Linked DNA regions of Bombyx mori. The protein of the gene in region 1 binds, or shares a complex with, the protein of each later gene. Links are inferred from orthologs where the notes say so. Each region holds a gene or a part of one and is shown in the gene's direction. Other genes may lie near its edges. The genes, in order: eukaryotic translation initiation factor 3 subunit M, eIF3h, eukaryotic translation initiation factor 3 subunit F, eIF3c and COP9 signalosome complex subunit 4.

Region 1 (6,299 bases):
TTGAGGGAGTTCTGATGTCTGGAATTGATATTTTAACAAAATTTTTACTAAGATTTACTAAATTATGTTTATTTATTTATATAATTATATATACACTGCAGTCTCTAAATTTTGAAAGCATAATTATAAAGAATAGCATCTCTGACATGATGTAGTAAAAAATTGTATTAAATATACTTTTTTACAACATTTTCAGATTATTCAAACAAAACCAATAGGATTATTAAGTTGTTAAGTTTTAATAAGCTACTTAATTTTGACGTGTTTTGTTATGACATAATTCAAGAAATTAATGAATAGAATGCCTAGAATATGCAAGAATCAAAATATGTGGACACTGATGGCTCTACAGTTGATGTGAATATTAATTTTGTACTTTAATTCTCATTTAATTAATTTTTTTTTTGTTTATTCTTAAATTGAATACTTTATATCTGGCTAGTATATCTGGCTGCTTCCAAACTTTTGGATGCTTGTATGTTGTATATGTATACTCCAGATGTGCATGATATTTATATGACCTTTAACATTTATCACTAATTTGGTTACATTTGTAAATACAAATCTGTGATTTTTTATATAAAAGACAGACAGCCCAGGCCCACAGTGTAAAGATGGGTAGTAGTACTTATGCTGTGATATTAATTTTGGTAATAATTAAGCCTCGTGTGCACAGTGAGATTTTCTACTCATCTAAGAAAAAGTAATAAACATTGACTAACTATTTTGTGTGGGTCTTCATCTAAAGATGTAACAAATAATTCATGGTCACAAGCTACACCCTCTGCTATGAAATATTTGAATAACACTTTGCTGTACACACCAAGGACATCTTCCTCTGAAAAGTAAATAAGGTAATTGAAGTCCTTTCATTGGAATTAATAACAATGCGTTGTGTGAATATAAAAATCATATTAATCTTACTTTCTTAAAATGCAATGTATTGAAAATTAAATGAAGTTATGATAAAAAACTAAATATTTTTAATTTGATTATTTATTAAATTTCATATCCATATTTATTTATTAAATTTGTTTTGGCTCTAAGATATTATGCAATTTTAAAAGAAATTCACGAACCTACAACAAAAATGCTGCCTGCAGGTATTCCTCCACCTAGAAAGTGTAAAATTATATTTATTTTATTGATTTTTGTAAATATATGACAATAAAAACTTTTATAAATTAAATTTGTTCCCTACAATTGTTTAAAATTGATTTGATCTTGTTTTGCCAATCTAATCCATTAAACATAATAGTAAAACTTACCAACTATATGGTCTAAGGATGGAATACCGGAAGATACGTATGGTAGGTTATTTTTCACTTTTGTGCCATTTATATGCGTACTTATATCTATAAATTTTCGAAAACTACGCATTTTTTATTAATATATCAAGCCGATTTCTGTAAAATATTGTTTATCGATTAAAATTCACTACCTACGATGTAGGTATTTTTCTTTTTGAAGTTTTTGTGATTTGGTAACAAGACCTTTAAGCCAGATGTAGGTTTACAAATTTACGAGATATAGTTGCCACGATAACGGGTCTTTACCAATAAGTTACTGTTTTAAAATACCATTTGAAACGTAGTTTATGCATTTCTGACAGTAAATTCCTAATTCAACTGAATTTTTTATTAAAAGTCACAATTACTGTTTAGTGGTTTAGTGTCGGTATATTTCTTAAATTGTGTAGTTTTGTTCTTATCAAATGCCATAAGTATTACAGTGGATGTGTACTGTGAGGAACAAGGCACAATATTGGAGAAGCTCGGGAATCATATAATTTCCAAATTGAAGTCACACTAACACCTTATAATGCTCACGTTGCAATTCATTTCTCTTTATATCATTTTTCATAAAAACAATATACAAAAGATTAGGCTATATGTTATGATACCTTTGCCCTCTCAGTTGGAAAAACTAGAAATACTACTCTATTAACTGTCATATCGTTTGCCACATTTCGTTGCTAAGAAATCGTTCTTGCATTCACTTTAATGCTTATAAATAATAAATAAAAGAATACAGTTCAAAAAAGGAATTAAAATGCAAGGGCCAGCTGTGTTTATGGACATATCCCTGGAAGATCAGGTCAGTTTATGTCAACATAACCTGTCGTTCAAAACAAATTATTTGCTGCAATGTGTCTACATGCAAATTTTAATAAAATTTCTTTCTTGATTGAAGGCACTCGAACTGAGAAGATATTTTAAGAGCCTTGGCGCCGAGATTTCAGAAGAAAAATCACCTAAGGGCATTGAGGATGATCTGCATAAGATCGTTGGGGTTTGTGATGCTTGTTTCAAAGAGCCGAGTGAATCGGACATCGAAGCCATTCTGAACAGTATTGTCTCTATTATGGTTTCTGTAAGTTGAACGCAAAAGCTATAGTTATTTTTAATAAGAAACATCTAGGTGTACTTTAGCATTAATTAGAGTACTAAGCGGTAGGCAGCGACTTGGCTCTGCCCCTGGCATTGCTGAAGTCCATGGGCGACGGTAACCACCATCAGGTGGGCCGTGTGCTCGTCAGCCTACAAGGGCAATAAAAATAAATGTTTGATAGTTGACTCGCATACTTACATATATATTGCAACTAATATTCACAGATACCATTAGAAAGAGGAGAAAACCTTATCTTAGCATTTAGTCAAAGGCTCACTAAGGCTCCTGGCCCTAAACTTGGAATGGTAGCTTTGCAATCGTAAGTATATAGAGGTTTTTTTAACTATGCAAGTAACCTTTATTATTCAACCAACTACATCACTTATCAGATCTTAGTTACAAAGATTTAAGTGAAATCACAGGTTTAAATCCATCATGACATAGGGAATAAGGCTTTTTATTTCTTGCCCATAAATGTTTAAAAATGAATGTTGCAATTTTTATTTTTTTATAATTTATTTAAATGTCAAATAAACAATATTTTAAAATCATTAAGGACAGAAAAAAATGTGTCAAATAAATTTACTTATTTTTGGGATTAAATGGATCCAATGTACATGTCTTCACTACATAGTATAAAACAAAGTCTCTTTCTCTGTCCCTATATCCCTATGTATGCTTAAATCTTTAAAACTACGCAATAAAATTTGATGCAGTTTTTTTAATAGATAGAGGCATTGAAGAGGAAGGTTTATATGTATAATAACATCCATTAAATAGTGGAGAAATCAATAATAAATTACAGTTTCCGAAGCGAAGCGAGGGCGTGTCGCTAGTAAAATATAATAAAAATAGATCCTAGAATTCCAAATTGGTATTTTATAGAATTGAAGCAGAATATGTATTAATGATTGTTAGGGAAAAATGCATAAGGCTTACAGAAATGCTTGATGCTTGTGTGTGAATGGAAGTATGATTAAGTAATAGTATATTCATCAAAAGTTTTAATTGTGGCACAAAAAGTGGAACTGCTGACAGGAAAGTAATGAAAAAAAATTTATACCAAATAATCACCCAGCAGTATTTAGTTTAGGACAATCACTTTCATCCACATGAAAGATAGTAATTTTGCAAAATGTTTGTTTCATAGGTTATGGAGACTTTACAACAACTTAGAACCCAACTCACCTCTAAGATACCATGTATATTATCATGTCATAGAACTGGCTGCACGAGTTGGATTTGTCAGGGAAGTCTTCACTGGGGTTGAGCAGCTTAGGAAAGAGTTTGCTAACTGCCCACCCTCTAATGAACAAATGCAGAAATTGTATCGGCTTTTACATCAAGTGTTAAAAGACCAAAACAGGTATGTTCTCACTACATTAAATTTATTAAACAATGACCATATTATTTCTATGAGTGATGTACCAAAGTCTGATTGCTTGTTAAGGAAACATTGTTATTAATATTTCTCAAAATAGCAAACATATTTCACCAAAAGAGATTCTATGTTTAGAATTATGTTTTGCTATTTGAAAATTATTTTAGTACTATTCATTTTGTGTTATTTTTTTTTTTTTTATTGCTTGGATTGCTGGACGAGTTCACAGCCCACCTGGTGTTAAGTGGTTACTGGAGCCCATAGACCTCCACAACGTAAATGCGCCACCCATCTTGAGATATAAGTTCTAAGGTCTCAAGTAAGTTGCAATGGCTGCCCCACCCTTCAAACCGAAACGCATTACTGCTTCACGGCAGAAATAGGCAGGGTGGTGGTACCCACCCGCGCGGACTCACAAGAGGTCCTACCACCAGTAATTACGCAAATTATAATTTTTGCGGGTTTGAATTTTATTACACGATGTTATTCCTTCACCGTGGAAATCAACCGTGAACACTTGTTGAGTACGTATTTCATTAGAAAAATTCGAACACCGGGTGCATCAACACGAATGCACCGGACCTCTTATCTCTTAGGCCACAACAACTTAATTATAAAAGTAATTTAAGTATACGATGTGCTGTTGTCATTGGACCTGCCTGATTTTAAAAACTGCTATCTACTAATAAGAGGATTATGTATGTAATATATTAAAAAGATGACAGCCTTGCACAGGAATGTCTTTCTTACAAGGGCACTAAATAAATAGTAAGTAAGTAGATTTTTGTAATCGCTTTGAATTAGTGTACAATACAAACTCGAATGTTCCGTTAAAAAATATAAATGTATTTTATTTACAGTGAACTAGCTGCTAAAGTAATGATTGAGCTACTGGGCACATATACAGATGAAAATGCTTCATATGCAAGAGAAGATGCAATTAAATGTATAGCGACAGCATTGGCAGATCCCAACACATTTCTGCTGGATCCCTTGTTAACATTAAAACCTGTGCGTTTCCTTGAAGGAGAGCTCATTCACGATTTACTTACAATTTTTGTATCTGAAAAGTTATCAAGCTACCAGACATTCTATAATAATCATAAAGAGTTTGTACATTCTCAAGGTAATTATTAATTTTATTTGCTTGTGGTAATCATATGCATTCATTTATTTATTAGTATAGGTGAGCAAATAGTGGGCAATCTCAAAACTTCATTTGGGATTTCTTATGTAACATACATGAAAGCATAATAAAGATTACAAAATTATGGTGTTCATATCCTAAACTCCCTAGATTTTAAGTAATTTAGTAGTGTTCAGAAGCCAGAATTCCAATAGAATATGCTTGAGCATCTACTAGTATTAAAATGAAATTATTACCATACACTGTAAAATCCTCTTTCTATCTCTATGTTCTTATCAAGCCACTTTGTTGTCAAGTGGCACAAACTGAAAAGAAATATTCATTTGTAGTTCAAAGTAGACCAATATCTATACCTTGACTCCTTTACTTACTCTCTACTAATAATGTAATAGATGATATTACTGTATATTCCCTATTTGTCATTTGGTAAAACTAGGGTTAACTATTTGCAACACATCTTGTTAGTCCAGTTGAACTGCCAAACTGGATTTGCCAAAAAAAAAATAACTATTATTTTAAATATTTTTTTATAAATTACTAGATTGTTGTTAGCTTTAGATTAAAGCTAATATATTTTGTAACCAGAAAGCTGTAAGCTATCACAACTGTTACAAATGTTTTTTGTCGGTACACACCAACTTTTATAATTTCAAAAAGATGGTTACCACTTTTTCACTGTTTTGTTTTGTGCATTTCGAGTCTGCAACAAGTGTACAAGTATTAGAAGGTTTTTATGATTTCCAGCAGATGTCAATATATGCAAGGCTATTATTTACTTTGTATGAGTATAAACTCCGCTAACCATTATACGTAACACTGTAGATACCAAAGTCAAAAAGGAGAAATACTTCCTGCCAGATTAATATATATTGATGATGTGATAATATAGATTAACTTATGTGGAACTAGTTTTTCTAGTCATAAGTATTGTTAATAGCAGTTTATTTTCAGGCTTAAACCATGAACAGAATATTAAGAAAATGAGAATATTGTCATTTATGCAAATGGCAGAAACAAATCCAGACCTTACATTTGATGAGATTATATCTGAACTTCAAATTGAAGAGAAAGATGTGGAAGCATTCGTAATTGAAGGTATTTTATTATTTTAAGAAATCTTTATACCTATCTATTTCGTATTATAAAACTAGGTGGGGCGGCAGAGCTAATTTTTCTCTTCCATTCTCTTCTATCAGCCGTCATCTCAACACTCCTCTCTCTTCCCTCTCTCTCCTCTCCCTCTCTTTCTCTCCCCCCTCTCTCCCTCCCCCCTCTCTCCCTCCCCCTCTCCCCCTCTCTCTCCCCCTCTCTCTCCCCCTCTCTCTCCCCCTCTCTCCCTCCCCCTCTCTCCCCCTCTCTCCCTCCCCTACAAATATGAGC
Region 2 (6,321 bases), on another chromosome or scaffold:
CCACAACATCATAGATATTAATGACTTCAAGCAAAATTTCCACAACATTTATGGATAAAGTAATTAAAAACGATTTTGATTACACTATGTACATACATACATATATTTATGTATTGAGATATGTAATTGTATCCTTTTTTTTTTGATTTTATGGCCTGGTAACGATACCTTTAAGCAAAATTGCATTCACGAATAAAATTAGGTATGTGTACTGCTGTGAATACAGATAATACATTTAATAGGTATTAAAACTGTAATTGTTATTATTGTATTTTCTGTCTGTATAATCTTTGTGGGTAACGTTATAGGGCAGATCTTCCGCGGAGCTGCTATAATTGCCCGGTAGCTAGGCTCTAAACGATCTCTTTTTTTTTCCTACCTAAGCTGATGGTCTAGCCTCTAGTGAGACCATATCAGCGTAACCTTAACTAGTAGGTGAGCTCAAGGGGCTCAAACCTAACGACGTTGCTAACATGAATCCTAGCAAGAGCCGTGCTTCGCAGAATCTACCACCGGATCGGAAATGCGACCCACTGAGAAGATTCGGTGAGAAACTCAGTGGGCTGTGTCTGTAGGGTAAAATTTACTCATCGAGCCAAGCAAAACAATAGAAAATTAATTAGTAAAAGATTCGTTTTAAGCTTTGAAATAATCAATTCTGCACAACAGGAACAAATTTTTTCACCACATAGTTCTAAGCTTTGTTTTTTTTATTGCCCTTGTAGGTAGACGAGCACACGGCCCATGTGATGGTGAGTGGTTACTGTCGTCCATGGATAGAGCCAGGGGCAGAGCCAGGCCGCTGCCAACCAGTTTATACTCTCCACAAGCTTCGTTTGAAGAAGGCGTTGTTATAGTTGTCGGGAAACACCGTGGAGGGGAGCTTATTCCAAAGCCGGACGGTACGTGGCAAAAAGATCTCTGGAAACGCCCTGTGGATGACCGCAGTAGTTCCAGGAATTATGGATGAACTCTATTCCGGTGGCGGGCGGTGTGATGGTAAAAACGAGATGATGGTTTCATGTCTAACAATTCCTTAGAGCACTCCCCATGGAACATACGGTGCAAAATAACAGAGTGAACCCAAGTCCCTCCGCAGACACAGAGGTTCCAAACGATCCGTGAGAATGGGATTATCGACAATCCGAACGGCCCTCCTCTGTATGGAGTCAAATGGAAGAAGCTGGTATTTGGGAGCCCCCGAACGGCTCTCTTCTGTATAGAGTCAAATGGAAGTAGCTGGTTTTTGGGAGCCCGGCCCAGAGGTCGGAGTAGTACTCCACACGAGGCCGGACCTGTGCTTTGTAGAGCGAGAGTCTTAAGCAAAAGTCGTAAGTTAACAAAATGTTCCATAAGGTACAACCTAATAAATAAACGATTAATTACAAATTGACGAACGGTAAAATATAAATACAGCGATAACGCGAATTGATACCACTTCCTTATTAAAGCAAATAATGAGACCTCACGTCTATAAGTGTAATTCGAGCCATATCACTTAACTTTATAGTATTTTTTTTAATTCAAAATCTGTAAGAATGTAATACAATTTATACATGGATAATAGAAAAAGATTGAACAACATTTGAGATTTATCATATAAATAAAAAATCTTTTAAACCTTAATTTTTATCATTACTAAAAATGGATTTGTTAAAGAATATTTACAAGATCATAATGCATTAATTGTTTTACATTTATACCGTAAACATTAGGATTAACTATCATTGTGATCCATAGTACAATACGCAAAATTACGGCACTTATTTATTGCATTGTAACTGGGATATAAAAACTACTATATTAATCTCATTAGCGTGTGTATGTCTTCGTATACCTACTCTTTTTAAAACCCAGAAATTTGTAAAAACTGGTATATAGTTCCAACAGTGTTTAAGTTTAATCGAGATGTGATATTCGTGGTAGTATTTTTAAAGGCTAATCTGTCGTATAGTGTCGATTGCAAATAAGGTATCGATTACAATTATCGATAGCTATTGATAGTCGATTTGGAGAGCTACACTAAAATGTAATCAAATCAAACGTTCTCTTGTGAATTAAAAATGGCGAGCCGTGCTGGTTCAGCTAGACGCGCTCCTGAAAATGAAGCGACGATCCAATATGTTCAGTGCGATGGACTGGTAAGTAAATTTAAAATTAAAGTTTAGATAGGTTCTCTGAGACGGACGTCAACTGTAGGTTTTAAATTAAAAACTTTGTGAAAGTTCGTGCCTCGACACGTCATGTATTTTTACCATTTAATTAATATATAGAAGTAAACATCGTCAATTAAGGTGGATTATTATGATCTGGAACATGATTCGTGTTGTATGATTTTAGGAGATCTTAGATTACAATAAAATAGGTTGCCGTTGCAATAATAAAGATAATTGTATAGGTTATGTTTTCAATTTTGTGCTCTCGTTTCTTTTTAAATAAATCGGGCAAACGTTGACAATTCACCAAACCTTGAATAATTCGTTATGTTAATTTCTATAGGATTCTATGAACCAAAAAACTTTCGATATAAAAAGAAAATAAAAGACTACAAAGGTTTTTTATTTCTGTTTACAACATATAAACGTTGTTGAGTCATTGACTGTTTTGGGACATTTGCCCTGAGCCCGGGGGTCATTGAAATAGGAGGATGATCTCACCTAACTGTACATCTAAAACATTAAATTTTCTCTGAACTATATAATTAGTGTTTTAAACTATGCTTCATTACAAAGTTTAGATCTTGATAGTATATGTGAAGTCATTTTTTGTTATATACTATACTACTATTTACTGATAATTTTATAGTTTCCTAACTGTAAATGATTGAGATTAGTTTTTGTTCTGATTGATTGCAAATAGCAAGCTGATTGATTTCCTACACATACACAGAAAGTTAATATAGCAATAATTTATTAGGGATGGGTAGGTATTAATTTGTTTTGTTAAACTTGTTACACATTAAAGTGTATTTTAACTTGCCTTGAATAATATCCTCTCTGAAGTTATTTAGTTGAAACATGCTTAAAGTAGTGGTAAAACAGTTTAATATGTGGTAATCAAACAAATCCTCATCGAACTAACTCAAGCATTTGAAATGACAGATCTGCTCCCACTTTTATAATATATTTGTGCTTTTTATTTTAGGCAGTGATGAAAATAGTGAAACACTGTCATGAAGAATCATGCAGCAACATGGAGGTGGCTCAGGGAGCTCTCCTTGGTTTGGTCGTTGAGAACCGTCTGGAGATTACCAACTGCTTCCCATTTCCAAAGCATGACGACACCATGGATGAGGAGGAATACCAGTTGGACATGATGAGGAGGCTTCGAAGAGTCAATGTTGATCATTTTCATGTTGGATGGTAATTAATATTGAAAATTGTTTTATAGTATGTCAAAATATGTCATACAATATTTTAAATTAGAACAGCAGAACTTTCTTTTTTCTTATACCTCATATCTTTCTTCAGGTACCAGAGTGCAGATGTAGGCAATTTTCTAAGCCTTTCGTTATTAGAGTCACAATATCACTATCAGACCTCTATTGAGGAGAGTGTTGTTGTGATTTACGATACAAAGAAATCAGCCAGAGGATTCTTGACTTTGAAGGCCTATCGTTTGACACCTCAGGTAATTAAGCTCTCATAACTATACACATTTTAAAGTGCTAATGTTGTTAATTGAGCTTTATGACAGAACTAATTTCTGAAGTTGAGCTATTTTATTTATTTATATTACGTATATTTAGTGAAGTTATCACTTGTTAATGCTAAGTGAATGGCAGAATCTATATTTTTGAGATATTTTAAATGTTTTTTATGGGGATACTATCTAAGTGGTCCATGCAACCTGCAGATATCACAACATGAGTGCATTAAGCGGTAGGCAGCGGCTTGGCTCTGCCCTTGGCATTGCTGAAGTCCATGGGCGATGGTAACCACTCACCATCAGGTGGGCCGTATGCTCGTCTGCCTACAAAGGCAATAAAAATAATAAAAAAAAATATATTTGATGTCTCACCATTAAACCAGAATGAATGTATGATTCCCAGCAAATATAAAGAGGATGGTAATGTATGTTCTTATACACATGTCTTAAGATGTAAGACTGTTCTCAATCCTTAAACACATTATTATTACGTGCAGAAATAATAGTAACTTGGACTCACAATATGCTCATCAACAAGCAAGTAAATTATTGTTGTTTTTTTTTTATATTTATATTGTGAAAACATTATGTATAGTTGGGTGTTCATGTATGAATAAGAATATATGTAAAATTGAGGTTAATACTTACTTTACAGGCTATTGCTATGTACAAGGAAGGCGATTACACTCCGGAAGCACTACGTAACCTGAAGATTGGCTATGAAAATCTATTCATTGAAGTGCCAATTGTTATCCGGAACTCTCCATTAACTAACATAATGATCTCTGAGCTCACCGAGATGATACCTGAAGAGGAAGGATCCAAGTTTTTGGATCTGGGTACTGCATCTGTTCTCGAAGGTTTGTTTAATTTTACTATGGTATACAATTATCAGAAAAGCTTTCAAGATTTAGGCTACATCTGACTACATCAATTATGGGTTGATTCCTTTGCTGCAATCTGAAGCTACTACTTTTCCCAGTAGTTGTTTCCTAACTGCTATATTAAACTTGTAATTTTTACTATGTGGAGGAATGGCAATAGACAATTTTAAGCAGGTGAGCTTTCACTATCATCTTGCTTATTAATTCTACTAAGAAAGTGTCCTCTTAAAGGGTACAGATAAACATCCATCCAATGTCATTAAAACTTCGATTCCCTTATGTTAATATGAGGTGGCTCTTAAGAGCCTGAAGATTATGTTTCTTCCTTTACTTAAATGTTCATATCTATATGTTGGTCATCATAAACAATCTACAGAGAGGTTTTTCTTTATTATTTCATGTTATAATATTTAGTAGAAAACATTACATAGCATTTTTCTCTTCATTTTGTGTAAAACTATTGATTTTGTTTAATGAATTTTAATGTTGATCTGATTTTACAATTTAAGGGCATCTAAGGGCCCACTTTATTTAAAAATATTGTATTTATCATCATAACAATAAAATTGATTTAATTACAGGACAACTTCGCAGTCTCATGGAACGTGTTGATGAACTGAATCAAGAAGCGATCAAGTTCAATAGGTACCAACAGCTGGTGGTCAGGCAGCAACAAGACAAGCATCGTTGGATGGTGAAGAGGGCACAGGAAAATGCTGCTAGGGCTGCTAAAGATGAGACCCCGTTGCCAGAAGAAGACGTGAACAAACTCTTTAAACCTCATCCAGTCCCGCCAAGGTTGAATCCTATGATCGTAGCCGGACAAATAGACACATACAGCCAACATATAAGCCAGTTCTGTAGTCAGAGTCTAGCGAAATTGTATTTGACTCAGGCTCTTCAGAACGCGAAAGAAGCGAAACAAAACAACTAGTTTTTTTGTATGGTATTAAAAATGATTTGGTCATATTGTTTTGTTGTTTAATTTCACAATTAATTTATATGTTACTATACTTTAAAACTATAAACTAAAAAAAATCATAACAAATCTTCAATCTTCACATTCTCCTGCCAGACATGTGGTTGTTGTACAGTTGCAACTAGATTAACAAGCTGATGAGTGGTTTAAAATCAAGCATAATTTTTTTTATTTTTTTTATTTTTTATTGCTTAGATGGGTGGACGAGCTCACAGCCCAACTGATGTTAAGTGATTACTGGAGCCCATAGACATCCACAACGTAAATGCGCCACCCACATTGAGATACAAGTTCTAAGGTCTCAAGTATAGTAACGACGGCTGCCCCACCCTTCAAACCGAAACGCATTACTGCTTCACGGCAGAAATAGGCAGGGTGGTGGTACCCACCCGCGCGGACTCACAAGAGGTCCTACCACCAATTTTCCTGGAGCTCATAGTTATAAAATAAATAAACAAATACTTGTACATAATTACTTGTAAATATGTTCCATGGGGAGTGCTCTGAGGAATTGAGATGATACCCTCATCTCCTTTTTACCATTGCACCGCCCGCCATCGTAGTAGAGTTCATCCATATACCTGGAGCCATTACGTTCATCCACAGTGCGTTTCCAGAGATCTTTTTTGCCACGTGCCATCCGGCTTTGGAATGAGCTCCCCTCCACGGTATTTCCCGAGCGGTATGACATCCTTCTTCAAACAAGGCTTGTGGAGAGTACTTAACGGTAGGCAGCGGCTTGGTGCCGGCCCTGGCATTGCTGAAGTCGATGGGCGACGGTACCCACTCATCATCAGGTGGGCCGCATGT
Region 3 (6,453 bases), on another chromosome or scaffold:
GACGTGAGGTCGAAATGTCAATTGTATTGTATAATAGCCTTCTCGTTTATAAACTGGAATACGGATATAGGCAAGACGGCGGTACCCAGTGTCCGTAAGTCGCCTTTCGACGACCCGGCTCACGGCTTGCGGTGACGAACAGACAAATAAGGCTTATCCTATTATACTGTATTAGTCATCAGGGGTGATACTGATGTCCATATTGTGTGATCACAGAAAGAAGTCCAGAAAAATATAGACAATATATCATCGAGAGCAAAGCGGGTGAAGCGAGACGACAGCGCCGGGACCGCGCCCGCCCCCCGGGGACAGCTCGGTGAGTCGCCCGGGCCGCTACACTCCACACCTGACCGCTGGTGTCATTAGTATATGTTACAGTCGCGTGTGTCGCAGCGGACGTGCTGCGCGGCGTGCGCTTCGTGCTGAGCGGCTACCAGAACCCGCTCCGCCAAGAGTTGCGCCGCGAGGGGGTCGCGCTGGGGGCGCGCTGGGAGCCCGTCTGGGGGCCCGCCTGCACGCATCTCATGTACGTGCCCTCCGACCTCCCGACATGTTGTAATGTCCGTTGTGCCACGTGGAGTACAGCGTCGTGTCGCCGGCAGATGCGCGTTCCCCAACACGCCGAAGCTGCAGGAGGTGCGGCGCGTGGCGGGCGGCGCCGTGCCCGCCGTGCGCGCGGACTGGCTGCGAGCGTGCCGCCGCGCGCGCCGCCGCGTGCCCTGGCGCCCCTACGCCACGGAGCCGCACCAGCGCACCGCACCACCACACGCTGCAGGTTCACGCACCACGCCGACAGTTCGATTGCTCATTCATTAATAAGAACAGACGGACGCCGCTACCAATATTTTTAAACCACAATACAAAATTAATTATTATTATTATTTTTTATTTCCTTTGTAGGCAGACCAGCATACGGCCCACCTGATGGTGAGTGGTTACCGTCGCCCGTGGACTTCAGCAATGCCAGGGGCAGAGCCAAGCTGCTGCCTACAAATTAGGCAAAAATGTAATTAAAACGTAATTTTGACCAATTACTTGTCGTCCAGAAACTGACGAGTCAGCGGACACCGACGAGGAAGTGCGGGACCGCGGCCGGGCGCCGAGCCCCCCCGCCGGCGCGACAGGGTCGAGGGGGGGCAGCGGCGAGCCCGACGTGCAGTTCGTGTGCGACGAACGAGTCAAGGCGTCGCTCGCGGTCGAGTCGGACTCGGACGAGACCGACGCTGGGGCCGACAGCGGCGCCGAGCACGCGGCACGTACACTCTATTACTAACGGATTAGTTAGTAATAGAGCTCGTCCACACATCTAAGCAATAAAAAAAAAAAAAAAATTACTTTTTTTTTAAATATTAAGTATTGTTTCCAGATAGACGACAGCAAGTCGCTGCCGGCGTTCTTTGAGGGAGTAACGTTCGCGGTGGAGGCCGGGGACACACAACTGCGGGCGCGCTGCTGGCGCTACCTGCGGGCCTACGGGGGGCGCGTGCTGCAGGTCGCTCGTGCTGCAGGCACAACAATATGACATGCCCTTCTTCAAACGAGGCTTGTAGAGAGTACTTAACGATAGGCAGCGGCTTGGCTCTGCTCCTGGCATTGCTGAAGTCCATGGATGACGGGAACCACTCACCATCAGATGGGCCGTATACTCGTCTGCCTACAAGAGCAATAAATTTATATTCTTATATTTATATTTATATAAATTTATATTAATTCAAAATAGTTAAAAAATTTCATGATTGTCACATTTCCTCTATGATTGGATAAATATACATATTTTCCTAATTTTAAACAAATGTACATTTTTCAGAAGTCTCAGCTGGATGAGGACAGCCGCGTAGATTACGTGGTGTGCGACGACGGCGCCGCGCCGCGAATCAAGGGCCGCGCCGTCACTGCAGCCTGGCTGTGGAAATGTCATCAACAACGAAAACTGTGTCCAATATAACGACAGCTCAACTTGTGAATTCCTTTCATTAAATAACTGTCAGCTAACAACGCCTTTTCTTTCACAAATCTCAGTAAATGACCACCATTTTACTAAGATCCCATATCATCTCATTTCATTTAATTTCATTCTAGTTGATTAGGGTCAATTCCCACTGAAAGAGCAGCGGCCGGCAGCGTCTTTTTTAGGCAAAATATTACAAACTATTTTGAATCTTATCTACGTGATTAAAAAGTTCATAGTCATTTGAAGGCAAAGGAGGGGTAGCGTGACGTCGCGAGGCTGCACGAGCCTTCTACCGACTAGTCAAAAGAGGCGCCGCGCGGCTGATCGCGGCGCAGCTAGCTGACGTGCGGCCGACCGCGGTGCAGCTAACAGACTCGCGGCTGCGCGCGAGCGACCATTTCATACCCGCCCGCCCTGCCGCTTACGCATTTCGCGTCATTTTATTAGAGGGTATCAAGTTAGAACGTGCTACGCTCCGTGAGAAAAAAATGTACCCAAAATTTTCTTTTCCTTTTTCTTTCCGTTTTGTTTGTTACTTCTTGTTCTTCTTCTACAGCCAGTGCTATGATACATAAATCCAAATCCACCATATTTATTGCCACACAACTTTCCTTGAGTGAAGTAGATCGCACACTAGTTTTCAAAGCTACTACGCGGAGGTTCATTGCGGCGCCTCGGGATGCCGCGCTGCCTCTCGCGGCGCCGCACTGCCCCGCGCGGCGCCACACTGCCCCTTGCGGCGCCGCGCTCAATCACTTGCTCTTACGGCCGCTGCGCGCCGCTGCTCTTTCAGTGGGAATTGACCCTAATGTCTCAAATTAATCATCTTCATTTTATTTCATTTCACTCCATATTATCATTTTTCATAAAAATAAGACATGACTTAAAGGTCTTAATTACCAGTTCATAAAATCCCTAAAAAAATTAAAATTAGCAGAGATAATACCTACAATATTCTCTTGTACTCTGTGTTTCTGGGTTTGTAGTTTTGGTCGAATTAAAAATGGCTCTCAATATTAGTGTGAAGGTCCATCCTGTTGTTTTATTTCAAATTGTGGACGCATACGAACGTCGAAATGCAGATTCTCACAGAGTTATCGGCACCTTATTGGGTTCGTATTGATTTATAAATCATGCAATAACTATAAATTCAAAGGACATTAGTTGTCAACGTCATGTCGTGTACCAAATTTTATGAGTTGTTATTTAAAAGAAAAATCCCTAAATGCTAAATATGTACGTCAATTATCATTACACATTTCACTTTGGCTTTTCCACATCAACGTTATAGTTAATTTGATAAATTCCTTGGTCACATAAGCCAGGTGCAATACAAATGTGTAAAGGCGTTGTAAGGTTATGTTGTGCTGTTGCTGCAGGCACGAGCGACAAAGGAGTGGTGGAAGTAACCAACTGCTTCTGCGTGCCACACAAAGAACATGCCGATCAAGTCGAAGCGGAACTTAATTACGCGATGGATGTTTACGAGCTGAACAGAAGAGTCAATTCCTCTGAAAGTATTGTTGGTGAGCTATACCTGCATTATACTCAAATTCACATATGTAACAATACTCACAGACGCATACACACACAATTTACACTAATTATTATTATTATTATTATTATTATTAATGCTTTATTTCAGTTATTATTTTTTTTTAAAACCATAACATTTTGTTAGTAATAATTACTTATAATCTATGTTAGTAACTTAAAAATCTAACACATAACTATCATTATATTATACATTTTATACCATTATATATTATTATTTTTCTCCTTCCAAGTGCCTACTGCAAAGGCTATTGATCAGCAGTCCCTCGATCTTGCTCGATATGATTCTCAAAAGACTGTTGTCACTGTCACGAACTCGACGCAATAACGATGCACTTCTCTTCCGCATTATTGCAAAGAAGTCATCTGTGTGAGATGTCGCAAACATTGTGGATGCACTACAAAAGCGCGGCAGTGACAACATCATCCTAAACGCATTATTATATTGGACACGTAGGGCATTGTAAGCTCTCCGCGTGTATGTGGTCCACAGACTACTGGCGTAAAAATTCTGGCAATAAGCTTTAAAAATTGTAAGTTTGACATAGCTATCGCAACCAGTAAATCTGCGGGCCAGCATGTTGCATCTTACTATCAACTAATTGCCACATCATCATCATTTTCCTGCCCTTCTCCGAGTCACCTGGAGTCGGCGCAACATATTTTCTCCGTTCATACTCCTCTATCATAATACCATTTCTTCGCTCATTCCACTCTTACACATATTGTCCTTCATGCAATCCATCCATTTCTTCTTAGGTCTACCTCTTCCACTATAGCCTTCCACATTTATAGTTAACACTCTTGACAATTGCCAATTAATAAAATTGGATCTTTTACTTCCCTTAGCATACCTTATACATTTAAATTCAAACTCATTTGTATTATTTTTAGGTTGGTGGGCGACTGGCAATGAAGTAACCAACCACTCCTCTGTTATACACGAGTATTATTCCCGTGAATGCCGTGAGCCTGTCCATGTTACTCTGGACACTTCGCTGGCTGGAGGTCGAATGGGTTTACGTGCATATGTTTGTGTACCATTGGGAGTGCCAAATGGAAAGCAAGGTTGCATGTTCACTCCTGTAGATGTCACTCTCACATGCTATGAACCTGAGGTAATTATTGAAGATTTTGTACTGTATTCATTGTCAATATTTGCTTTATTAAGCAAAAATATGGTGAAAACTGCTGAAAGGCCATTAAACTCTGACTGTTACAGGTTTAAATTTGTGTTCAAAAGGCTTCAAAATCATGAGCTGTTTTAGACTCAAATTTGTTAATATTTCAATATCCATGAACTCCAAAACTGCATTGTGTGGAATCACATATTGTTATATTGTTAAATAAAAAAAGGGTGCGTGTACTTATGTGCGCGCGTAAGAAGTTATACTTAATTTTTATTAATTTTTTTTTTTTAATAATCATAAATTAATAATAAATATTTAATGTTAATAATTTAATAATGTTTAGTATGAATTACAGTCAAACCTGGATAAGCGAGAGTTAAAGGGAGCACAATCTCATTCTCGCTTATAGAGGTTTCTCACTAACCCGAGTTTCTCCCTAATGAACCCTCTGAATGTCATTTCGCGATTTTCCAGATTCAAACGCATTCACTATTTTAAGTTTATCACTTAATGACAGTACTTTAATTTTCCGTTTTGACATGATGCAGAACAGATTTTTCCCTCGCGATTGATTAACGATAAACTGAGTAAGTCTGACAAACAGGACGGTACACCGGGACACGTGTCCATTCGAAAAGAATGCGATAAATTAACAACGTTATTTAGTTCCACGAAATAGAATAGGTTCTATATTGACGAGAAAACAATACAAAAACAATGTTAAAAAGTTCCATGAAATTTAAGAATGGGTCATAAAATAGCAGATGTTAAATTTGTAATTTGTTTTGTCATTTGTTCCTCCTAAATAATATTATTATAAATAAATAAAGCTCGACTGTCGCTTATAGAGGTATAGACAAGTAGCAGTCTCACTTACGGAAGTCCATAAGGGAAAAAACTACTCTCGCTTACAGAGGTTTCTGTCTCTCGCTAATAGAGGTCTAAGAAGCTAAAAATGACGGGTCCTGGCTATTACTCTCATTTATAGAGTTTTCTCACTTATCCAGTTCTCACTTACCCAAGTTTGACTGTATATTAAAATCCCTTATTAATCTGGTAATTCCTTATTAGCAGGAAAGGCCTGAGCATATTAAAACGCATTACTGCTTCACGGCAGAAATAGGCGGGGCAGTGGTACCTACCCGTGCGGACTCAAAAGAGGTCCTACCACCAGTAAAAAACCTATCTAGAGTTTTAATGTTTTGCGGCATAGAGTAAACGTTTGCTTTGATTGATTAGATTGTAGGTCTACAAGTGTGCCAGAAGACTGTGTCTGGTGGAGGTCGCGGGTCGAGCGGCGTGGCCGCGGGCTCGGACCTGGCGCAGGTGATGTCGGCGGCGAGCTCGCTGGAGTCGCTGCTGGAGCAGGCGCTGCAGTACGCGGACGGAGCGGCCGCCGGAGCACCGGCCGACGCGGAGGCGGGCCGTGCCCTATTGCAGCTCGCACATTCCGCACCTGACCTTGCCAAGGACACCTTCTCAGATGCCTTCGCCTCCAGCGTCAAAGATCTGCTCATGGTAAGTTCACACTCAACCACTCTACCGTGCTGTGGGCTTAACTAGAACATAATATATGAGTAAGTATAAAGGATGGGACGGTTTCTGGACATCTTTCATGAACACTGACATCCAGGCGAGACTATGAGACAATTTGTTAGCTGATCTACTTGTGTTGCTAATGGCAATTACTTACACAGGGACTATACAAGTGCCTATGATTATTCATCCAAAACTTGTGCTGAAATATAGTTTTGTCAATTCTGCTGTCCCTCATCAACAGTACTAATGTCAGCCAGTTCTTGAACATTACCTTTATAT
Region 4 (6,235 bases), on another chromosome or scaffold:
AAAGTCATACTGGAGTAAAACAGTTTGCTTGCCCTAGTTGCCCTAAAGCTTACACCAGAGCTATTTATTTACGGGAACATAGCATAGTTCATACTGGCCAACAGAGACCAAAACCATTTAAATGTTCCAATAAAGACTGTGAAAGAAGCTTTGCCACCAAACATTCATTGTTGGTGCATTTTGCACACACTCACACGACAGAGAGACAGCACAAATGCACAACTTGTTTCAAAGGTTTTGCAACAGCCTCAGGCTTAAAAATGCATATGGAATCTCATGCCACTGTGGAGCTCCATTGCAATATATGCGGGAAGAAACTGTCAAATAAAAGAGTTCTTCAAAAACATATAAAAACTCATAATGTTGATGCCAATGACATGATATTGGAAACTGTTGTTGATAATACTTTCTTCGAACAAGTATTTGATGCAAATATGTAAATTACTATCTAGAATTTAAAAAACTAAAGAAAATAAAGCATTTGTGATTTGAAATATATTTATTAATGGAAACAATATAAAATAAGTATATATAATAATAATGACTGTTTACACTTATCGCTAGGTTCTTGGATATAAATGAAATTATTGTTAATGGCAAACATTAACTCATTGATAACAATATTAGTATGTATGTACCTTACTTTATGATGCAAGAACATAATTCATGATGAGGTGTCTGGAACTTTCACCCATTTAAAATTTGGATTAGTTAATAGAACATAGGTACTTAAAGTAAGTACTCACCTTATATTGGTTGTTTTGCCCTAATATTGTTTTATTTGCACACAAGTCTTATTTATATATATTTAAGTGTACTTAAAACTTTATCTTAAAATAGTGAAACCTAGCTATTATACTGTAACTGTCTCTAATTGCATGAACAACAATTAGAAACAAATAGAAGAAATTTGTCATGATAAGTTGCTAGCCAAAAAGATAACACATTTATTTAAAGATTACAAGATAATTTTTTTTACTATATACTGTGCACAATAAAGTTATGAAGAATGAATGAAGGTTATGATGATCGAATATGATACAGAAAAGGTTTACCTAAATAATATGAATCATACACCATTTTATTAGATGTAACTAAGTGTACATGATCAGCTAACAATGGACAGTATCACACAAGAACCATTATTACATACTATGAAGCTTTATAAAAATGCCAGTCAGCTCAGCAGTGGTGACGAATGTATAGAGCATTAGTATGCAGTAAGAAGCCTTTCAGACAATTTACATTACTAGTAGGTTTATTATATATGGATTTTTCCTTTACTATGAAATCCCCTTTTTACACCATGTTGTTTATCAAATTGCTGCTGGTCATGTGATTCAAATAAAAAATAATCTTATCAAACTTTGCCATACATTAGTATTCCTTATCACACAAAATGATTACACTACTGAATTTTGCAAACCACTCACATTAAAAACATGCTAAATCTTTATAAACAGATACATTTAATAGATTAATAGACCCTTTTAGTTGTTGTTTAAAATAAATCTTTAATTTGCTATAATTATTGCTATTTCCCAAGTAGTTTATTCATTTGTTTATTTTGTTTACCAATCTTGATATCTGCAATCTCAACTTTGTCTTGAATAGTATCCACGAGGTTGTTTTGCTGTTCTATCTCTTCACCAAGTGCAACTCCTAGATGTTTGAGCCGGGATATAGCATGCACCATTTCATCCAAGTTCGAATCAAGTATATTATTTACTCTCTCGTTTTCTGTTTCAGGACTCTTAGCGCTTTCTTGAGACAAACCATGTAGGCGTGCTGAGGGATGACTCTCAAAGCGATCTTCAACGTTCCTAGACATATTATCTAGGGTTTCATCAAGCCTGCTACTACTTGTACCAGCATTACGTACATTCGAGGTCGCTGGACTTTTAGATGGTGTTTGATCACTTTTTCCGGAAATATAATTCTTCAGACCATAAAATACAGACTTTATACCATTTAAATGTTTTTGACTATAGTTTAAATTGGTGTTAATCTCATCAAGTCGCCTGTCTGTGTTCTGTAGCTGTTCACGTTGTCGGGAAAGCTCTTCGGCCGTTGCAATACCAATTTGTTCAGAATCACGAAGCAATCCGATACTTCTCGTTGATGAATCTATTGTCCGTTGTTCGATTTCTCTTTGTGTTTGGATCATAGCTTGGCGTTGACGTTCCAGTTCTGCAATATGACCTCCATAAGGCTTATTTGCTTGCTGTGTTTGAGGTATTCTTGACCGGAAGCGATCTACAAATTCGTTATCATCGACGTCGTCATTTTCGAATAGGTTGTTCGGATTTGTGAAATATTTATGCCCAGACATTGCTTAAAATGTAATTTACTACGTAGGTGTGTTCTCGTTACTTTATTGGTGATGTTCAAAAAGAATGCACTTGAAATTATGGGGGTGGTAAGCACAGATAATACACAATTATTATGGTAGGTATGTACCATAAATGTTTATTTTAGGTTTAATTTATCTGATACGACGAGCAAAGGGATGTAGCCAAATAAAACGATTTTTTTAAGTGTCTGTCTAATTGAACAAAAAAAGTCAATATGCCACGTTCCCTTTGCCTTTCCAATTGAACAATTGAAACAAAGTTTAGCTCTTTGATCAACTTTGATGCGTTTGACGTATGAAGTGAGTCGTGGGCAAGGTCTGTATTTGAGAGCTTTCTTTCTATTCGCTACAAATTTATTAAGTCTATCATCAGAGGATTGCTTGAAAACTGAATACCTACTCTGTTTTTAATATAAGACAGTAAGTATTGTAAAAATGTTAAACAGTTCTAATTTATAACCTCAACGCGAGGACAAGTCAACTATTTATTACTAATTTTGATGTTTATTTAAGATATTTAAGAAAATAAATTACCATTGGAGTCAAATAATGTTCATTTGGAATTAACGAAGTTTTCTTTTACAGAAGCATTAACTAACTCTTGTAAATATGAGTCGTTTCTTTGCAACTGGGACGGACTCGGAGTCAGAGAGCAGCAGCGAGGACGAGCCAGTAGTACGCGCCCCCGCGCCAGTTTACACGGTAAATTTAAAATAAATAATTGGGAATCAAGGAAACAAAATTTTCAATTTATAGTTTAAAAAAAGATAAATAGTTTTTTAAGTTACCAAGGGAGACTAACATTAATCTCATGTAGGATGACAAGATATATGAAACTTTTTTTCGGTAATCAGCAATGCAATTAGCAAAATTTTGTAACTCTTTTAGAAGTTTTGAAAAATGTGATCCTTTAAATTCTTTCCTAAATGTCCACTATCAGTAGCTAATAGAGGGGGTAGCGATCAATAATGTATTTCTGCTCTGCTCGCAATCTGCTATTGTGCCAGCTTACAGCTTTCTAACGACTTGTCCAAAAAATTGAATGGGCAAAGGGAACAGCCATATTTTGTAATGATTGTGAAATTATTTTAATTATAAATTTTATTTCTTGTATTCAGTCATCTTTGTAAAATATGGTATAATATTATTAAAACATTTTTAATTCATAATAAATAAGGTATGACATAGGATTCAACCCATGTTAAATTTAAAATATCTGAAAAAATCCCACAAGTTACATCTTGGCAGGACAAAGGGTTGCTCGTGCTACTCTTTCGTTCCTAAACTCTTAGTAGACTTGTTGGTCAACTGGCATACTGCTTGAAAGATAATTTGGAGTAATATAATAATATACATGGATAAATAATTTAATAGTAACAATAGTAAGCCACTAAAACTTCTATTTATTTCAATTATGAGTTTAATAAGTGCATCTAGTGATTGGCATATCAATTTGTTATTAATTTGTCTTGACTTGTATAACAAGATGCTTTGATTCCGGAATAGTACAGTGATGTGAATTAGATATGTGTTGTTCAATCAATTTTAGAGAATCAGATCAATACTGACCTGTTGACAAAATGATCCGGTTCGTTCGACCCGTTCAGTCAAACGTTTGGATTTCCGTTAATCACACCAATTTATGATGTGATTAATATTATCAGGTCACTGGCTGAATGAAGTTTAGTATTGAATAACAGTTTAAAGGAACTGTTATAGTTCGATTGTTTAGGTGAGATAAAAAAAATTCAAATACGTTATGCGTCATTATGCGACAGCGAACGTCTAACCGAGACGGGCGCGGGGCGAGACCCGGCAACCCGAAATGACCCGAATGACTGTTGCATGGTTCTTTTCTTCTGATTCGTAGGTTTTGTTAAACGGGTCAATCTAGTGAACGACTCATATTTTTTGAAATGTTCGCGCGGATTTTGAAACCCGGGTCGTTTGGTTCGTTCGTTGGCGAACGACACATATCTAATGTTAATTGTAATAAACATTAAACATATGCTTCAAATTTTAAAAAGAAAATGATCAGACTAAAAGTTATAAATTGATTGGGAGATAAGAGTTGCTGTGTTTTTTTGCTAATTTTTTTTTTGTTGTCATCTTTTAATATTGTATATTGTTAACAGATTAAAAATCTTAAAAGTGCGCCATTGTGGGAAAATTCTACAAGATTATAATTACAATTCACAATATTATTATAGTCCCAAGTCATTTCAGTAAATTGCCTCTATTTTGAGGTATGCACTCAGGATAAGTGAACAACAGGAAGGTTGCGTATACTTGTGTAAGAAGAGCCTGCGCTACCACGGCATGCATGTTTTACATGTCTTAGTTTTGGTCTTCAAATGATGATTATTCGAGTATTGAAAATTTCTTCCATTATAATATTGCGTTAATAAAATCAACTGGATAGTTATTTCTTATTAACACTAGCTTACTAACAACAGCTCTTACCGAGCATGGTTGTAACTCTAGTTAATGTTCTATTGTGATACATTAACCTCTCCCCAGTGCGGTGTCCTCTGAGCGGACTCCACAGATACGTGAAATGTCAAATCACATTTATCTATCAACAGGGACCCGTCCGCTCAAAGGACTTCAAACAGACGCGGCCAGTGGCGGCAACAGTGCCGCGTCCGCTCAGCGGACTTCCTATATTAAGGGCTATTACATTATTTTACTAGAGTTCTCGTTCTGAAGTACTTTCAAAATCGACTAAGCATGAATAGGTTCGCCTTATTACATAAAATTTGTTTGGTCTGTGGTACAAAAATTTTTCAAGATCGTTGATTTAGTTGGTGGCAATTTCAAACAAATTAATACATGTCTATTTTACATCTTTAGAATTATAAGCTTAGAATAATAATTTTTTCAAATTTTATTTAATAATTCAGTCAACTGTAGAAGAATATTGAACAAGAAAAGTACAATTAATTATAATTCTTTATATTGGCAACAGTTTAGTGACGATGAGGAAGAAACAAAGCGAGTTGTGCGCTCAATGAAAGAGAAGCGTTATGAGGAATTAGAAGGAATTATACACTCTATACGCAATCATCGGAAAATCAAGGATTTTAGTTCAGCATTAGCTTCTTTCGAAGAGCTCCAAAAGGCATACACTCGAGCCGCACCGGTTGTTCAAAAGGAGGAGAATGGAGTTGCTCCTAGATTCTTCATAAGAGCTCTTGTAGAATTGGACGATTGGGTAGTAGGAGCATGGAATGAACGTGAAGCCCGAAAAGCTCTATCAAAAGGAAACAGTAAAGCTCTTACCTCACTAAGACAGAAACTTAGGAAGTACACTAAAGATTTTGAAGCTGAAATATCCAAGTTCCGTGAAGATCCTGATCTACCCGATGACAATGAACGTAAAGGTAAGCAAATTAAAAATAAACGAAAACTTAAATTACATTCTTCAACACTACTTCATATTCAATGCAAAACAATTAATAACAAACTTTGTTCATAGATTCATCATCATCAGATGAGTCTGAAGATGAAGAAAAACCAATTAAAGAGAAGCCTAAACCCGAGCCCCTTCTTCGTCCACCACCAGAAGATGATGAATCATCAGATTCTATGGATTGGGCTTCTAGTTCTTCTGACTCCAGTTTTAGCTCTGATGATGAGGAACGTGGTACCTCCAATATTCGTGAACAATTCATCAAGAAAGTTACCAAGAAAGAGGATGATGAAGAGAAAATAAAACTTAAACTAAAGAAACGTGAGGAAAGACGTGAAAGGTCTGGTAAAATCAATAAACGCGACGTAGCTGATGATGGTGGTGAATGGGAAACAGTCAGAAAGGGTGCGGCGACTTCTGATAAGCCTAAAATGTTCGCTAAAGTATGTATATTACAATCTCCTTACTTA
Region 5 (4,557 bases), on another chromosome or scaffold:
GACCGATTCTCATGAAGTTTTTTATGCATATTCAATAAGCCTGAGAATTGGCTACTATCTATTTTTCATACCCCTAAGTGATTAGGGTTGTCCACCACTAACATATTTTTTTTATTTGGACTTTTTTTGTTATAATGAGGTATTATGTGGTTTAATGAGGTTTTGTTATTTTTATTATATATTCCCTCAACGTTCACAGCGCTACATGCCTCTTTCACTCATTTACCACATCCTTACACACTTACAATAAATTAGTTTTTTTTTCTACACTAGAAATTCCCTAGAAATCTTATATATGGCAAAACAATGTTTGCCGGGACAGCTAGTATTTTATAAAAATCTTGACCAATCCTAAATTATGAACACAAATGTTAACCCTGACAATAATATAAATCATCTGTAAAAATGTATAATTATAGTTAACAAAGGTTACGTTATATAAAATTTATTTGTAGTCTTTCATTATCATAGGTGGCCAGTATCAGACAGCACTTAGCAGATATCTACGAGCGAAATCAAAACTGGAAGGAAGCTGCTAATGTTTTAGTTGGAATACCATTGGAAACTGGACAGAAGTATGCTTTTCATTTTCTTTCAAAACAGTAATATTATTATTTTTATTGCCTTTACAGACAGACCTGATGGTGAGTGGTCATAGTTATTCAGGGAAGTCAGCAATGTAATGAGCATATCCAACCCTCTCCCTAGCACTGACTCCCCTTATATTGTTGTGAAATAGAACATGTCACAGCACTCAGAAAAAACTGCAGGGAAGCTCATTCCAAAATTAGATTGTATGTATCTCTGCACTGTGGGTGAACATAGTATTTCTACATCCCATGAATGAAATCAGTTCTGATAGCAATCTGAACAGCCCTGTTCTGTAGAAACAGGAGTAGGAAGTAGTTGGTATTTTAAACCCCAATCCATGAAGGGGAGCAGTTTATCTGGGTATGTAGTACATACCACTGCTATGTTGAGTTTTATATTATACCTTTTAAACAACTCCAATATGAAAAATTTAATTGCACTAGCTTATACATAAAACGTTTATAGATTTTGTAACACAAATTACAGTGGATATCTTTTTTTGTTGAAAATGTTTCCATGAAATAAAAAAAGAACATGACCTCTTGATTATATTTAAAATTTCATTTTTAGACAATATTCAGTTGATTACAAACTGGAAACGTACCTAAAGATAGCCAGACTGTACCTTGAAGTGGACGATCCGGTGCAAGCTGAGGCATTCGTCAACAGAGCCTCATTGCTACAGGCCGAAACAACCAACGAGCAACTGCAGATATATTACAAAGTTTGCTATGCAAGAGTTTTAGATTATAGAAGGTATATATTTTATACCGCTGAATAGTTTTGTCAGCAACAATTTAGGTTTAAAAAAAAGGGCCATTACTTCTAAATCTTTAGATGTGACGTGTTTTTATTGTGTTTCAAATGATGCCAATACAGTTCTTAATAGTCAATCTGATAAATTTTAAATACAGAAATTCATAAATATGAAGGTATTGCAAGAAGTTTTTACTGATGGTAGGACCTCTTGTGAGTCCGCGCGAGTAGGTACCACCACCCTGCCTATTTCTGCCGTGAAGTAGTAATGCGTTTCGGTTTGAAGGTCGGGGCAGCCGTTGTAACTATAGTTCAGACCTTAGAACTTATATATCAAGGTGGGTGGCGCATTTATGTTGTAGATGTTAATGGACTACGGTAACCACTTAACACCAGGTGGGCTGTGAGCTCGTCCATTCAAATATGCAATAAAAAAAGTCGTGATCTAAAGGATAAGGCGCGCGGTGTACTTACCAATGCGTTCGACACCCAGATCATTGTGAAGATCCACATTGCTCACCTTAGCTTCGAGGGTTAACCTAAAAAGAGAAATTGTAAAATTTTGTGGGAGTAGTTTAGGTACTGGTCACTGAGCGAACACTACATTCGCAAAATCTATCATCGAAGCGATGCAACTATGTCCAGCTGAAAGGGTGAAACGTTATTAACAACTGAGACTTTAATTTCGTGTCTCAAGGCATTCAAGCGGGAACGCGTCGAACCCGTCGCTTGCGACGAAGGGCTCGACGAGTAAATTAACCCTCAGACACAGCCCACTGAGTTTCTCGCCGGATCTTCTCAGTGGGTCGCGTTTCCGACACCGTGGTAGATTCTGCTAAGCACTGCTCTTGCTAGGGTTCGTGTTAGCAACGTCGTCAGGTTTGAGCCCCGTCAGCTCACCTACTAGTTAAGGTTACGTTGAAATAGCCTCTCAAGGCTATCAGATTAGGTAGGAAAAAAAAAAGTGAGACATTCGCAATTCTCGACATTGCAACATAAACAAAAAGAAATAAAAATTGGTTTGTTTTAGGAAATTCATCGAAGCGGCTCAAAGGTACAATGAATTGTCATATCGTAACATTATCCACGAGGACGAGCGGATGACGTGCCTCAGGAATGCCCTTATATGCACCGTGTTGGCATCTGCTGGTAATTGATTTCAATGTAATGCTAAGATTGTTGGGCTGCAAAAATAGAAAATCGATAAGACATTGACACATTGATTATATTACACAATATTTTTGTAATAAGACCACAGCTTCAGATCAGAACATTTAAGTCACTACAGTCTAAGTCTAAGTCACTACATAAAAAATGGTGCATTTTTTTTCATTTCATTAGACATGCTAGTCTTTTTAATATCCATTTCTACTGTTAAGTAGTCATACCAGTGTCAACAATTTTATGGTGCTTTGTTAGAGTTATCTTTATTTACCGAATGATAATTTAATCAACACCTCAAAAATACTTTACAGTTTTCGAATACATTAATCTTTCATTAATAAGCGCCCACATAACATTAGGACACTCTCACAGCGTAGCAGGAATGTATCAAAAATTCTCCCTAACTGGAACGCGTGATTATATCGCGGTAGATCAAGGTAGAGTGGTGGGATTTTCTATGCGCAGGCTTTTCCTATACTAGTGAGAAATAGGAGCAGCTGTAGGAGTAGTTAATATTCGTCAAAGTAATTTAAATTTATTTTAAATTTAATATTTAAATAATTAAAAAAAACTAACAAAACACGCTTTTATAGAAAATCCAACAAAAAAATAGAAAATACATTTTAAGAAATTTGAATTAAACATAGTGTAAGAAAAAATGTTTTATTAATAATAATCAATAATTTATATATCAATAATTATATATCAATATCAATAATTTTATTGTAAAAAAAAGCGTGTAAAATGTTTTTCTATAAAAGCGTATTTGTTTAGTTTTTTTAAACTATTATTTATTTTTCATTTTTTAGTTGAATTACAATTTAATTCAATTTTTTTTTAAATATCGAATTGTCATCGGTCCTTAATTAATAAGTATACCAAATTTCGAGTTAATCCGACGTTTTCAAGGGGGTCAATATCATGTTCAAAGATTCCGTTACATACTAACATACCTACATACGTCTGAAGCTAATAAAAGCGTATTAAAAAGTAATGTCTTTTATCTAAAATGTTACAGGACAACAGAGATCCAGAATGCTAGCAACATTGTTCAAAGATGAGCGGTGCCAACAGCTGCCGGCGTATTCTATTCTAGAGAAAATGTATTTAGATCGTATAATTCGACGGTCAGAATTGCAGGAGTTCGAATCCCTCATGCAGACACATCAAAAGGTTAAGTTAGGACATATTACATTTTTTTTTTGTTCGGACACGGGGCCGAGTTTTGACGGTCCGCAAATTTGGGAAATTGACATTAAAAAAGGCATAAATATATAAGTTATAATAGATGAATAGAAGCATGACTGAAAACCTTAAAAAAAAATGTTAATTTGATTGATTATAATTTTTTTGCTGTCTAAGTTTGCAGGTTTTTGATACCGAAATTTTAAGCGTGTTATCTCCATATTAGTTTGGAATAATAAATAGGAAACTAAATTCTACCCTGTTCATGTAATTTTCACGGTTCAATAATTACCAAATAATGTAAACGGGTATTATAAAATACGAATTTTGTCATCAACCATGAAAAATTGAGATCAAAAGCCACTTTTTATTAATTACTGTGCAGTGTTTTTATACTTTGTACGTTCTTAACTAGGCAGTCTAAGTATGTGCCTACCAGGTTATGACCGCGTCTTGATCTATTTGTAATAATTATGTTGTTGATTGAAATGATAGAGGATTCACTGATGATTAATTTAAATGTAACAGGCGACCACACCCGACGGGTCTACGATCCTCGACCGAGCGGTTTTCGAACACAATCTGCTGTCAGCGAGCAAGCTCTACAACAATATAACATTCGAAGAATTAGGTGCGCTACTAGAAACGCCGCCGGCTAAAGCGGAACGAATAGCGAGCCACATGATCAGCGAGGGTCGCATGAACGGGTACATCGACCAGATCAGCTCCATTGTACATTTTGAAAGTAAGTATAAGAACTGAATTTTGTTAGCATTTATGTTGCAGACTACGCCTATACCACACTTGAATCGGGGGACACATCATGATGTCTAAGCTGAAGTCCAATGGAATTATCTTTGC

The links.
Region 2: eukaryotic translation initiation factor 3 subunit M (region 1) and eIF3h share a complex: the UniProt entries of both Caenorhabditis elegans proteins name them as parts of the eukaryotic translation initiation factor 3 (eIF-3) complex. The link is inferred for Bombyx mori from reciprocal best matches to the Caenorhabditis elegans genes cif-1 and eif-3.H.
Region 3: eukaryotic translation initiation factor 3 subunit M (region 1) and eukaryotic translation initiation factor 3 subunit F share a complex: the UniProt entries of both Caenorhabditis elegans proteins name them as parts of the eukaryotic translation initiation factor 3 (eIF-3) complex. The link is inferred for Bombyx mori from reciprocal best matches to the Caenorhabditis elegans genes cif-1 and eif-3.F.
Region 4: eukaryotic translation initiation factor 3 subunit M (region 1) and eIF3c share a complex: the UniProt entries of both Caenorhabditis elegans proteins name them as parts of the eukaryotic translation initiation factor 3 (eIF-3) complex. The link is inferred for Bombyx mori from reciprocal best matches to the Caenorhabditis elegans genes cif-1 and eif-3.C.
Region 5: eukaryotic translation initiation factor 3 subunit M (region 1) and COP9 signalosome complex subunit 4 share a complex: the UniProt entries of both Caenorhabditis elegans proteins name them as parts of the CSN complex. The link is inferred for Bombyx mori from reciprocal best matches to the Caenorhabditis elegans genes cif-1 and csn-4.

The regions. Positions count from the first base shown.
Region 1 is NC_085119.1:6,793,934-6,800,232, forward strand, and holds the start of eukaryotic translation initiation factor 3 subunit M, read left to right. Parts: upstream 1-1,912; 5' UTR 1,913-2,052; coding exon 2,053-2,097; intron 2,098-2,193; coding exon 2,194-2,373; intron 2,374-2,615; coding exon 2,616-2,710; intron 2,711-3,541; coding exon 3,542-3,757; intron 3,758-4,632; coding exon 4,633-4,898; intron 4,899-5,870; coding exon 5,871-6,014; intron 6,015-6,299. UniProt on the Caenorhabditis elegans protein: Component of the eukaryotic translation initiation factor 3 (eIF-3) complex, which is involved in protein synthesis of a specialized repertoire of mRNAs and, together with other initiation factors, stimulates binding of mRNA and methionyl-tRNAi to the 40S ribosome.
Region 2 is NC_085110.1:3,929,680-3,936,000, forward strand, and holds eIF3h (eukaryotic translation initiation factor 3 subunit H), read left to right. Parts: upstream 1-2,047; 5' UTR 2,048-2,063; coding exon 2,064-2,141; intron 2,142-3,144; coding exon 3,145-3,362; intron 3,363-3,470; coding exon 3,471-3,630; intron 3,631-4,303; coding exon 4,304-4,508; intron 4,509-5,113; coding exon 5,114-5,466; 3' UTR 5,467-5,501; downstream 5,502-6,321. UniProt on the Caenorhabditis elegans protein: Component of the eukaryotic translation initiation factor 3 (eIF-3) complex, which is involved in protein synthesis of a specialized repertoire of mRNAs and, together with other initiation factors, stimulates binding of mRNA and methionyl-tRNAi to the 40S ribosome.
Region 3 is NC_085124.1:490,111-496,563, reverse strand, and holds the start of eukaryotic translation initiation factor 3 subunit F, read left to right. Parts: upstream 1-2,899; 5' UTR 2,900-2,954; coding exon 2,955-3,063; intron 3,064-3,330; coding exon 3,331-3,477; intron 3,478-4,399; coding exon 4,400-4,623; intron 4,624-5,874; coding exon 5,875-6,153; intron 6,154-6,453. Other genes in the region: DNA repair protein XRCC1, read left to right, coding at 217-316, 379-526, 603-775, 1,047-1,252, 1,367-1,492, 1,808-1,945. UniProt on the Caenorhabditis elegans protein: Component of the eukaryotic translation initiation factor 3 (eIF-3) complex, which is involved in protein synthesis of a specialized repertoire of mRNAs and, together with other initiation factors, stimulates binding of mRNA and methionyl-tRNAi to the 40S ribosome.
Region 4 is NC_085122.1:5,757,531-5,763,765, forward strand, and holds the start of eIF3c (eukaryotic translation initiation factor 3 subunit C), read left to right. Parts: upstream 1-2,534; 5' UTR 2,535-2,669; exon of another isoform or gene 2,670-2,773; intron 2,774-2,938; 5' UTR 2,939-2,962; coding exon 2,963-3,055; intron 3,056-5,321; coding exon 5,322-5,736; intron 5,737-5,831; coding exon 5,832-6,208; intron 6,209-6,235. Other genes in the region: gastrula zinc finger protein XlCGF57.1, read left to right, coding at 1-440; soluble NSF attachment protein 29, read right to left, coding at 1,535-2,332. UniProt on the Caenorhabditis elegans protein: Component of the eukaryotic translation initiation factor 3 (eIF-3) complex, which is involved in protein synthesis of a specialized repertoire of mRNAs and, together with other initiation factors, stimulates binding of mRNA and methionyl-tRNAi to the 40S ribosome.
Region 5 is NC_085109.1:10,719,665-10,724,221, forward strand, and holds part of COP9 signalosome complex subunit 4, read left to right. Parts: intron 1-471; coding exon 472-575; intron 576-1,161; coding exon 1,162-1,347; intron 1,348-2,377; coding exon 2,378-2,496; intron 2,497-3,529; coding exon 3,530-3,684; intron 3,685-4,224; coding exon 4,225-4,441; intron 4,442-4,557. UniProt on the Caenorhabditis elegans protein: Component of the COP9 signalosome complex (CSN), a complex involved in various cellular and developmental processes.